Linked DNA regions of Bombyx mori. The protein of the gene in region 2 interacts with the protein of the main gene of each other region in a pairwise test. Links are inferred from orthologs where the notes say so. Each region holds a gene or a part of one and is shown on either strand. Other genes may lie near its edges.

Region 1 (3,304 bases), on a different chromosome or scaffold from region 2:
AAATTAACTATGCTATATATCTATTAAGTATTTATTGGTATCGAGAGGAAAAAAATTATCAATTGTTCTACCAGTGGCGGGTCTGACTGAACTGTTTCTGAAACTAAACTGTAACTACTTCAATACTGAAATACCTACAAGATATACTTAAAATTTTCCTTTCATCTGACTTAACTGATTATGTAAGATAGTTAGTGGTACGTCTTGTGAGTCTGCACAGGTAGGTACCACCACCCTGCCTATTTCTGCCGTGAAGCAGTAATGTGTTTCCGTTTGAAGGGTGGGACAGCCATTGTAACTATACTGAGACCTTAGAACTTATATCTCAAACTGGGTGTTGCATTCACATTGTAGATGTCTATGGGCTCCAGTAACCACTTAACACCAGATGGCCTGTGAGCTCGTCCACCAATCTGAGCAATAAAAGTTTAATATGAAATTGATTTCAGACCCAGAGGTATAGTAAAGGAATGGCGCATGAGTCGTATAGTCTGGAGGCATCTAGCGGATTACAACAAACTCTCAGGAGTACAGAGGGCTATGTGGGGCTGAAAATCTAATTTATTCTATGATAGTAGTAATGTTATTAAATTAAATATTAAATGAAATTTCTTTATTTCTTACAAATATCTCTACAGTTCAATCACCTATATATTGGCTAATCTGGTTATGCTAATTTCACTAAATGTGTAGGCAAGCTCATAGGCAACACTAGTCCTACACTGCTATTCATGTAAACGTATGCCATTATAGAAAAAGGGAAAAAGACAATGGTTTTATTTAACTTATTTTAATAAAGTCAGTTTCTTATAACATAAAAGCTTTACAATAGACAAAATGGAATATTTTTATTTCTTCATAAAGCTTCTTAGTCAAAGAGACCTGAAACAGAAAATAACATTAAATTGATGAACATGTTAACTACAAATATTAAGACCTAAACAATTCTCCACATACTCAGTAAAAAATTTTCAATCAAAAGATTCAGTAGCTAATACATGATCAAACATCATTGAAGTTTACATATTATGATAAAATTTGTCTTTGTTATTAGAATAATCTTTCAACAAATCATTCTAATTAAGTACTCCTTTTATTTGTTTACTAGAAACTGTTATTCATTTTATAGACTTTTGTTTTAATAGATTAAAGATGTTTTACCCAGGAAAAAAAACTTTAAAAATAAAAATATAAATTACTACTTAAATCTGAACAAAAATAAACTTTGAATATCGCATGTATATGTATGGATTGCTTACCGAAGCCCATGTCATCGTCGGACTCCTCGGGTTCCTCCTCTTTCTTTTCTTCCTTCTTCTCCTCGGCCGGAGCGCCGGCTGCAGCAGCAGCGGCTGGCACTCCACCAGCGGCCGGAGCAGCACCCACTCCAGAGCCGATGTTGGTGATCAGGTCACGGACATTGATGCCTTCCAAGGCTTTGGCGAACAGACCTGGCCAATATGGCTCTACATCTACAGCCGCCGCTTTCAAGATGGTGGAAATTTTCTCACCCTATTTCAATAAAACTGTCATTAGATTCCAAAAACATAAAAATATTTACTTTAGAAAAAAAAACTACAAGTAAGTATACGAAAGATATGGCGCCAAATGAATAGTTAAGATTAATGGAAAATATACAGAATTTTTAACAAAATAGACGTTTACTATGCTAAACAAATGCTTGGTTGTTCTGATTTTGTAGCTATTTTGTGTGATGTTCGTGGATTTAGTCACACAAACATTCTTCAATAACCTTAAAATATTAAAATTACAAATATTAAGATTACTTACAGTTACGGCAACATCATCATCAACCAGGATGAGAGCAGAGTAAACACATGCTAATTCAGCTTTTGACACCATTTTTAGTTTTGAACGTGCAAGTTGCCGTAGGCCTTAGCTCAAGAGAGAACAAGCACGTTTGAGTTCTGACAACAAAGAGAAACAGGAAAGGAGGTTATGTTCGAATTAGCAGTTTTCTGAGCTGTCACTGTCACATTGTCAATGTCATAATTTCATTTTGTCAATGTCATTTTTTAAATACATACCTAATTTTTAATGACCAGGATTGTTCTTCTTTTTTTGGCTCCGACACGGTTATGCATGTGTCAAGTAATAAGATTTTTATAATTCGCCGTTTAAATTATTTACACTTTATGAATAATAAAAAACGAAGGAAAAGACATGTCAGACATTTAAATAACCAAGTTATCGGCATATTGTAATAAACTAACTGAATCTCCGACATACAGCCTGACACATTTAAACTTGAAGAAACACTAAATAGACAAAATAAAAAAAAACACACAACTTCACTCCTCGCGTTCCTGCCAAAAAGTCCAAGTTCTTTAATCATTAAAACTATTTATAAAACTTATGTATGTAGCAGTTAATAAAACTATTGGAATAACACAAAAAAAAAACGAATAGCATGCAATCAATCTCTTCCAGTTGTACCGTGTACACTTTATTCGGATTCTATGAAAGCTTTGTGTTGGGACAAAATATAGAGGGTCAGCGAATTTATGTAGGTTAAAAATTCATAGGCTTATATATCGTGTATCGAGTTTTTAAATACTTTATCTGCGTTATTTTGTCTAGTTTAAAATGATATTTGAAACCGTTATCATTTTACTAAAGTTAAAATAAATTTTATTCGCTTTTTAAGAACATTAACACACTTCTTAATATTTGATTTAGGCCCCTCGGTTTTTTATACGCATAAGATATACCTACCTAATAAAGTTTTAATGTATTTCAATCTAAATTGGACTGGTCTATAAGTTATATAGTTAGTTTAATATGATTTGTTCTTTCGATGTGGAATAGAATTTAGTCAAGATGAAAATAAATTATCTTTTATTGTCATTGTAAACTAACAGGCATGCGGCTCATCTGATGAATGGTTTCCCTGGCTCTAAGAAGTCAGCGATGCCAGGGGCACAGCCAAATCGCGTTCTGATCGCAACCACCGTTTTGGGCCATTGTTGGTAGATGAACCCATAATAAGGCCCAATTTTTTTTATGATTGAAAGATTACTGGTGGCCCGGAGGCCTTTCCACTTTCACTAGGACAGTTGGGCGAGCAAAGGCTCAGCCAGGAGGGGTGGGATTTGCTAACAGCTGCCCGAGCGCCCCCGAAGGAGACCTAGAAAATCAAGAGCAACTGCTTCGCGAATGTATCTATGACCGTGACCCGCTGAGAAGATCCGGCGAGAAATTCAGCGGGCTGATGCATGGGTTAGGTTGCACGTCGACTTCTTTGTTGAGTTCGACAAGCACGCCAACGGGGTAACTAAGCCTG
Region 2 (4,384 bases):
CTTGAGCTGTAAGGTCTAAATTGCATCATAACAGCTGACCTAATTCATAATTGCGAATAATCAGATTGGTATGCAGTCTGCAACTGAGTCAATTTAAGAGGACAAAGAACAGCTTGGATCTTGGATGCTGAGTGTGGTCTGAACGCTGGTGAATTTATCTCTTTCTGATGCTCCAAGTTTGGGAATGAGAGAATGGTGACAACTCAACAATTCGTTCATTAAATGAAGTCCCTTCTCTGCATATCCCTCAACAAATATCTGTGAGCTAGCAGTTCTAAAGGCATAAGATCTTCAAACACACTGAAGTATGAAGGTATTTTTAAAGCAAATCAAAGTTATATAAATCATGACTGCAGTTAAAAAACAAATAAATTGTCAAATTGAAGTTGTCAAAAAAATTAAGGAACCCCTTTTGTACACATTGTCCCAAGTCCCCCAAGTTATAAAACAATACGACTCTTCTGGGAAATCTCAAGATCCATACCGGTCCCTGCAACATCTTATGCATCTCTTAATAACAACACTCACTTCAGATATTTTCTGTCGCACATAACTATTTAGATATAACATGACAATTTTCTTTTATTGACAAAAATATAGAAAACCTTATCTTAAACTATAGAAAAAATGTCCATTTGCATATATCTATACAAGTTCAATAATGAAGAAAGCCTAAATTGTCCTATGGATTTGGAACAATAATTGGATGTTTTTAGGTAAACATATTATGGAAGGTGATATCCATAGTTGCCTAACACTGAGCTTCGTTGTGGTCTAGCTGCAGAAGTATTGCAGAAACTCATTCCATTTAAACTTTCTTCATCAAACTTCACTTTAAATACCATTTATCACATATAAATGAAATTAAAACGACATAAACTCTGAGACAACGACGATATTATAGGTCCGTATCCCTGAGCATTATCGTACAATTCAAACAATGGTGCCGCAACCAGCTTGTAATTCTTCGGTACAGCGAACAGAGCTCTGTCTTGCAGTTGAACCAGGAATAGGCGCTTATGCTCCTTTGGTTTCGTGATGTGAGGCGGAATGTATGGATATTGCGGTGGTTCGAAATTCGGTCGCCACCAGTTTCCTGTAAGTTTACAGAAAGTTTACATATATTAAGTTTACATATATTATTACATTTTTTTAAAACATAAAATTTTTTTTTTGCTAAAACGTAAAAATAGTCAAAATTCAAGCTTTCACCAGTTTTTCAAGCACTGTTATAGCATCACTAACCTATTGTGTCTTCAATGAGCCATTCCTGTTTGACACCGTCTTGCCTGCCTAAAGTCTCTGTGAGAAGCCTCTTCAAACCATCAATTTCATCCTGGAATTTTAAAAAAATGTAGTCTCGCATTGTTTTTATTAGGAACATCTGAAACACTTGAATGTGCATCTCTTTTGATGGGTACTCAACATACAACTACATAATTTAGATTCTTTACAAACCATAATTATTATTACAATACTGAAAAACTAGAGAATACAATTACTGCTCAACAGAAAATGGGACATAGCTCTTATTAGAGTAGCATATTCTGTTGTTTTGCTCTATATGATATAATACTCAAAAATTATCGACAATGATGACTATATTTAACTTTGTTGGCAGCCTCTTGAGTTGCAAACCCCAAAGAGGCTGCTCAAGTTGAGAAGGATCTGATATTATCGTATGATTATTCCCAGTTAAATTGCGCTTTAAAGATGCAAGCAGAGGCTATTCTGTCTACAAGAGGATCTAGGCTGACTTCTATATTTGTAGTTCTATAGTATAAAGGTAATCCCTTAATCTAGATATACCTCTCCAGGATTCAATTCTCCACCGGGCAACTTGAAAAACGCAGTGCCGAGTTGCAGTAACAGCACATGAGGGAGACCATGTTCATGTACTAATAACACACCTTCGACTGACCTGCAACGGTAATTAAATCCCATCAAACTCACAACTCATTAACGCAATTGGATGAAGCCACAGTGAACCATAACAGAGTTATCAACACTCAATAGGTAGCCCCCCTAATTGTAGGTTAGTCATGTGATAAACTCAGTTGAAGAAAGTGGGTAAGGGCTTGATTATAATGTGGCTCGTCCACAGCTATTATTATTATTATATATCAATACTAGAGGTAAACATAAATGTAAACTGTGTTATCGAGTAATAATATCAAGTTTCCAGCGTGCAAAAAGGTTTTAGGGAAACTGTTTCATCTATACATGTTTAAGTCATGTAATCTACCTGCCATAATTTACAACACTTCACACATTAGTAGTGTTAAGTCTATATTTACAGTACAAGCCCTGATTTTTTTGTCGATTCTTTTCACTAGTGGACCTAGATTGGCTAAGTATATGAGAGAGCTATTTAAAAGCCTAATAAGATATCAACTGTATGATTTTGTATTTAATGAAGTTCTAATATGGTTAGGTAAGTAAAGTGATATGTATGTTTATTATTTTCATAATGAATAAAGCAAACATGTATAGTGGGTACTCTTTATAATCATAATGGGTCGTTTCATACATCGGCTTTCCTAACATAACCTTACCTTCTCATTCCGATTTTACAAAACTCCTCTCGCATCCTCTGGAACCTCGCCGGGACCGACGCGTCTTTCTCGAACAGCGGCTCCTTAGTTCCGAACGTGTAATTCGTAAGCGGATACAAATTAATAGACCTATTGAGAGTTAAATTCATGCTTGGGTTTTGGCTTATTTGATGTTGTAGTCCTGGTCGCGCAGGCCACTGTTTGTTACCGGGAGGCCCTTGAACTGCTGCCATCTTATATTTGATCTTATTTTCAACAAAACCGCGTATGCAGAGATGATCACAACTAAAAATTGTTTTACCAAGACAAACAAGCGTCAGTATTCGGCCATTTAATAATAAGAATTATTAAGAATTATAATTAGTGACGTTCACGGGTGTGTGTTGTAACTCCGAGTTGTGATTTGGCAAAAACGACATCGGCCAATACTCGCCTCGATTTAAGCTTTTAGTCGATTACGTTAAAAAAGTTCTTACAGACTTGTCCAAGTCAAACCTTAACTTTGACAGTTTGAATAATTTTGACAGTAACTAATTTTTGTTTTGAAGTAATGTGCAATTGCATTTAGTTTTGTTTTTTTTAGTTTTATTGTGAATAATTCATAGAAATGTCTGAGCATTTAGAATTCATATCAGAGAATATATCACAATGGTCTGCAGTTTCGAAAGTCACACCGGAAATACAGAAAAAGGAAATAAGACCATTCGTAATTTGTATGTACACATTTTTTTTTATTGCACCCATTGACAATTTTAAAGAAAAGTACTAATAAAGAAGAAGGTTGAAAAAATAAGAATAGATTATTATTAAATTATAGTTAAGAATGCTTAAACTCCAGATTATTACTAGAAACTGTGAATATACCATGGATTCCTTAAGCATTATATTTTCATTGTACACTTTTAACAAGTGGATTGTTTGGAAGAGCGACATCTGGCAACTTGAGCCTGAAATAAAAAGGACTAAATTAAATAATAAGATTACACACATAAGTATAGTAATTTAAAAATATGATATATAAAAAAAAAATTGTCTTAGACCAATGTCTAAGACAAATTGCTAAACTAATTATGTATCACACGATATCTTAATATAATATGTACTCATGTTATTTAGACGGACTAGAGCGATTGTGTAGCAATTAAAAAAGATCTTGCAACTTAAGCAATTTAAATTAGCTTTTCTTAGCTTATCTTATAATTCTAATTGCAGTGTCTCTTAAAGAATTAGAAGGAATAGAAGATGAGAGATTATCGAGTCTAATGAACGCAGAAAAGTTTGCTGCGGTCAGAGCTATCGTCAGGCACTTTGCAAGACTCCGATCGGCAACCAAAAGCTTATGGGGCCAAGATGATGTAAAAACATTTTTAGATGGGCTGCGGTTAGTGCTTGTGAGTTTACTTTAGTGATAGTTTGGCTCTCATTATAAAATTAATGTGGAAACCATGAGAGTAATGGGGTTAGCTCAATTGCAGTAATTTAATAAAAAGGAGTCTTAGTGAATCCAATCAATATAAATATTAAAAATGTTATCTGACTTAATGTAAGTTTTCTAATTGTTTTAAAAGGAACAAACACTTAGTCTAATTGAAGGACAATGAAGGATGATGGTTAATCCCCAAAACATTTGCAGGGATCTTTTTTTGCAACTGACCATCTGGCTTTTGATTAAGCTCTCTGCTTCACGGTGTTCTCCAAGTACCATGACATGTCACCGTCCCTACCTCTTCCCCCTCTACCTTGCACTACCATTTCCATACATCTCCTAGTAGTCTGTAATAATATTGAAATACTTTTAATTTTCAGTTTTTCCCCTGAGTGTACGTCTG

What was found.
Region 1: the proteins of cleavage and polyadenylation specific factor 5 (region 2) and RpP1 interact in a two-hybrid assay, tested with the Homo sapiens proteins (2 studies listed by BioGRID and IntAct). The link is inferred for Bombyx mori from reciprocal best matches to the Homo sapiens genes NUDT21 and RPLP1.

What each region holds. Positions count from the first base shown.
Region 1 is NC_085121.1:13,787,104-13,790,407, reverse strand, and holds RpP1 (ribosomal protein P1), read right to left. Parts: upstream 2,014-3,304; 5' UTR 1,864-2,013; coding exon 1,792-1,863; intron 1,513-1,791; coding exon 1,177-1,512; 3' UTR 883-1,176; coding exon of another isoform or gene 869-882; 3' UTR 775-868; downstream 1-774. Other genes in the region: mRpS14 (mitochondrial 28S ribosomal protein S14), read left to right, coding at 450-552. UniProt on the Homo sapiens protein: Plays an important role in the elongation step of protein synthesis.
Region 2 is NC_085117.1:3,159,054-3,163,437, reverse strand, and holds the start of cleavage and polyadenylation specific factor 5, read right to left. Parts: upstream 2,886-4,384; 5' UTR 2,789-2,885; coding exon 2,556-2,788; intron 1,922-2,555; coding exon 1,810-1,921; intron 1,337-1,809; coding exon 1,246-1,336; intron 1,097-1,245; coding exon 849-1,096; 3' UTR 1-848. Other genes in the region: uncharacterized protein LOC101742918, read left to right, coding at 3,163-3,268, 3,768-3,936, 4,362-4,384. UniProt on the Homo sapiens protein: Component of the cleavage factor Im (CFIm) complex that functions as an activator of the pre-mRNA 3'-end cleavage and polyadenylation processing required for the maturation of pre-mRNA into functional mRNAs.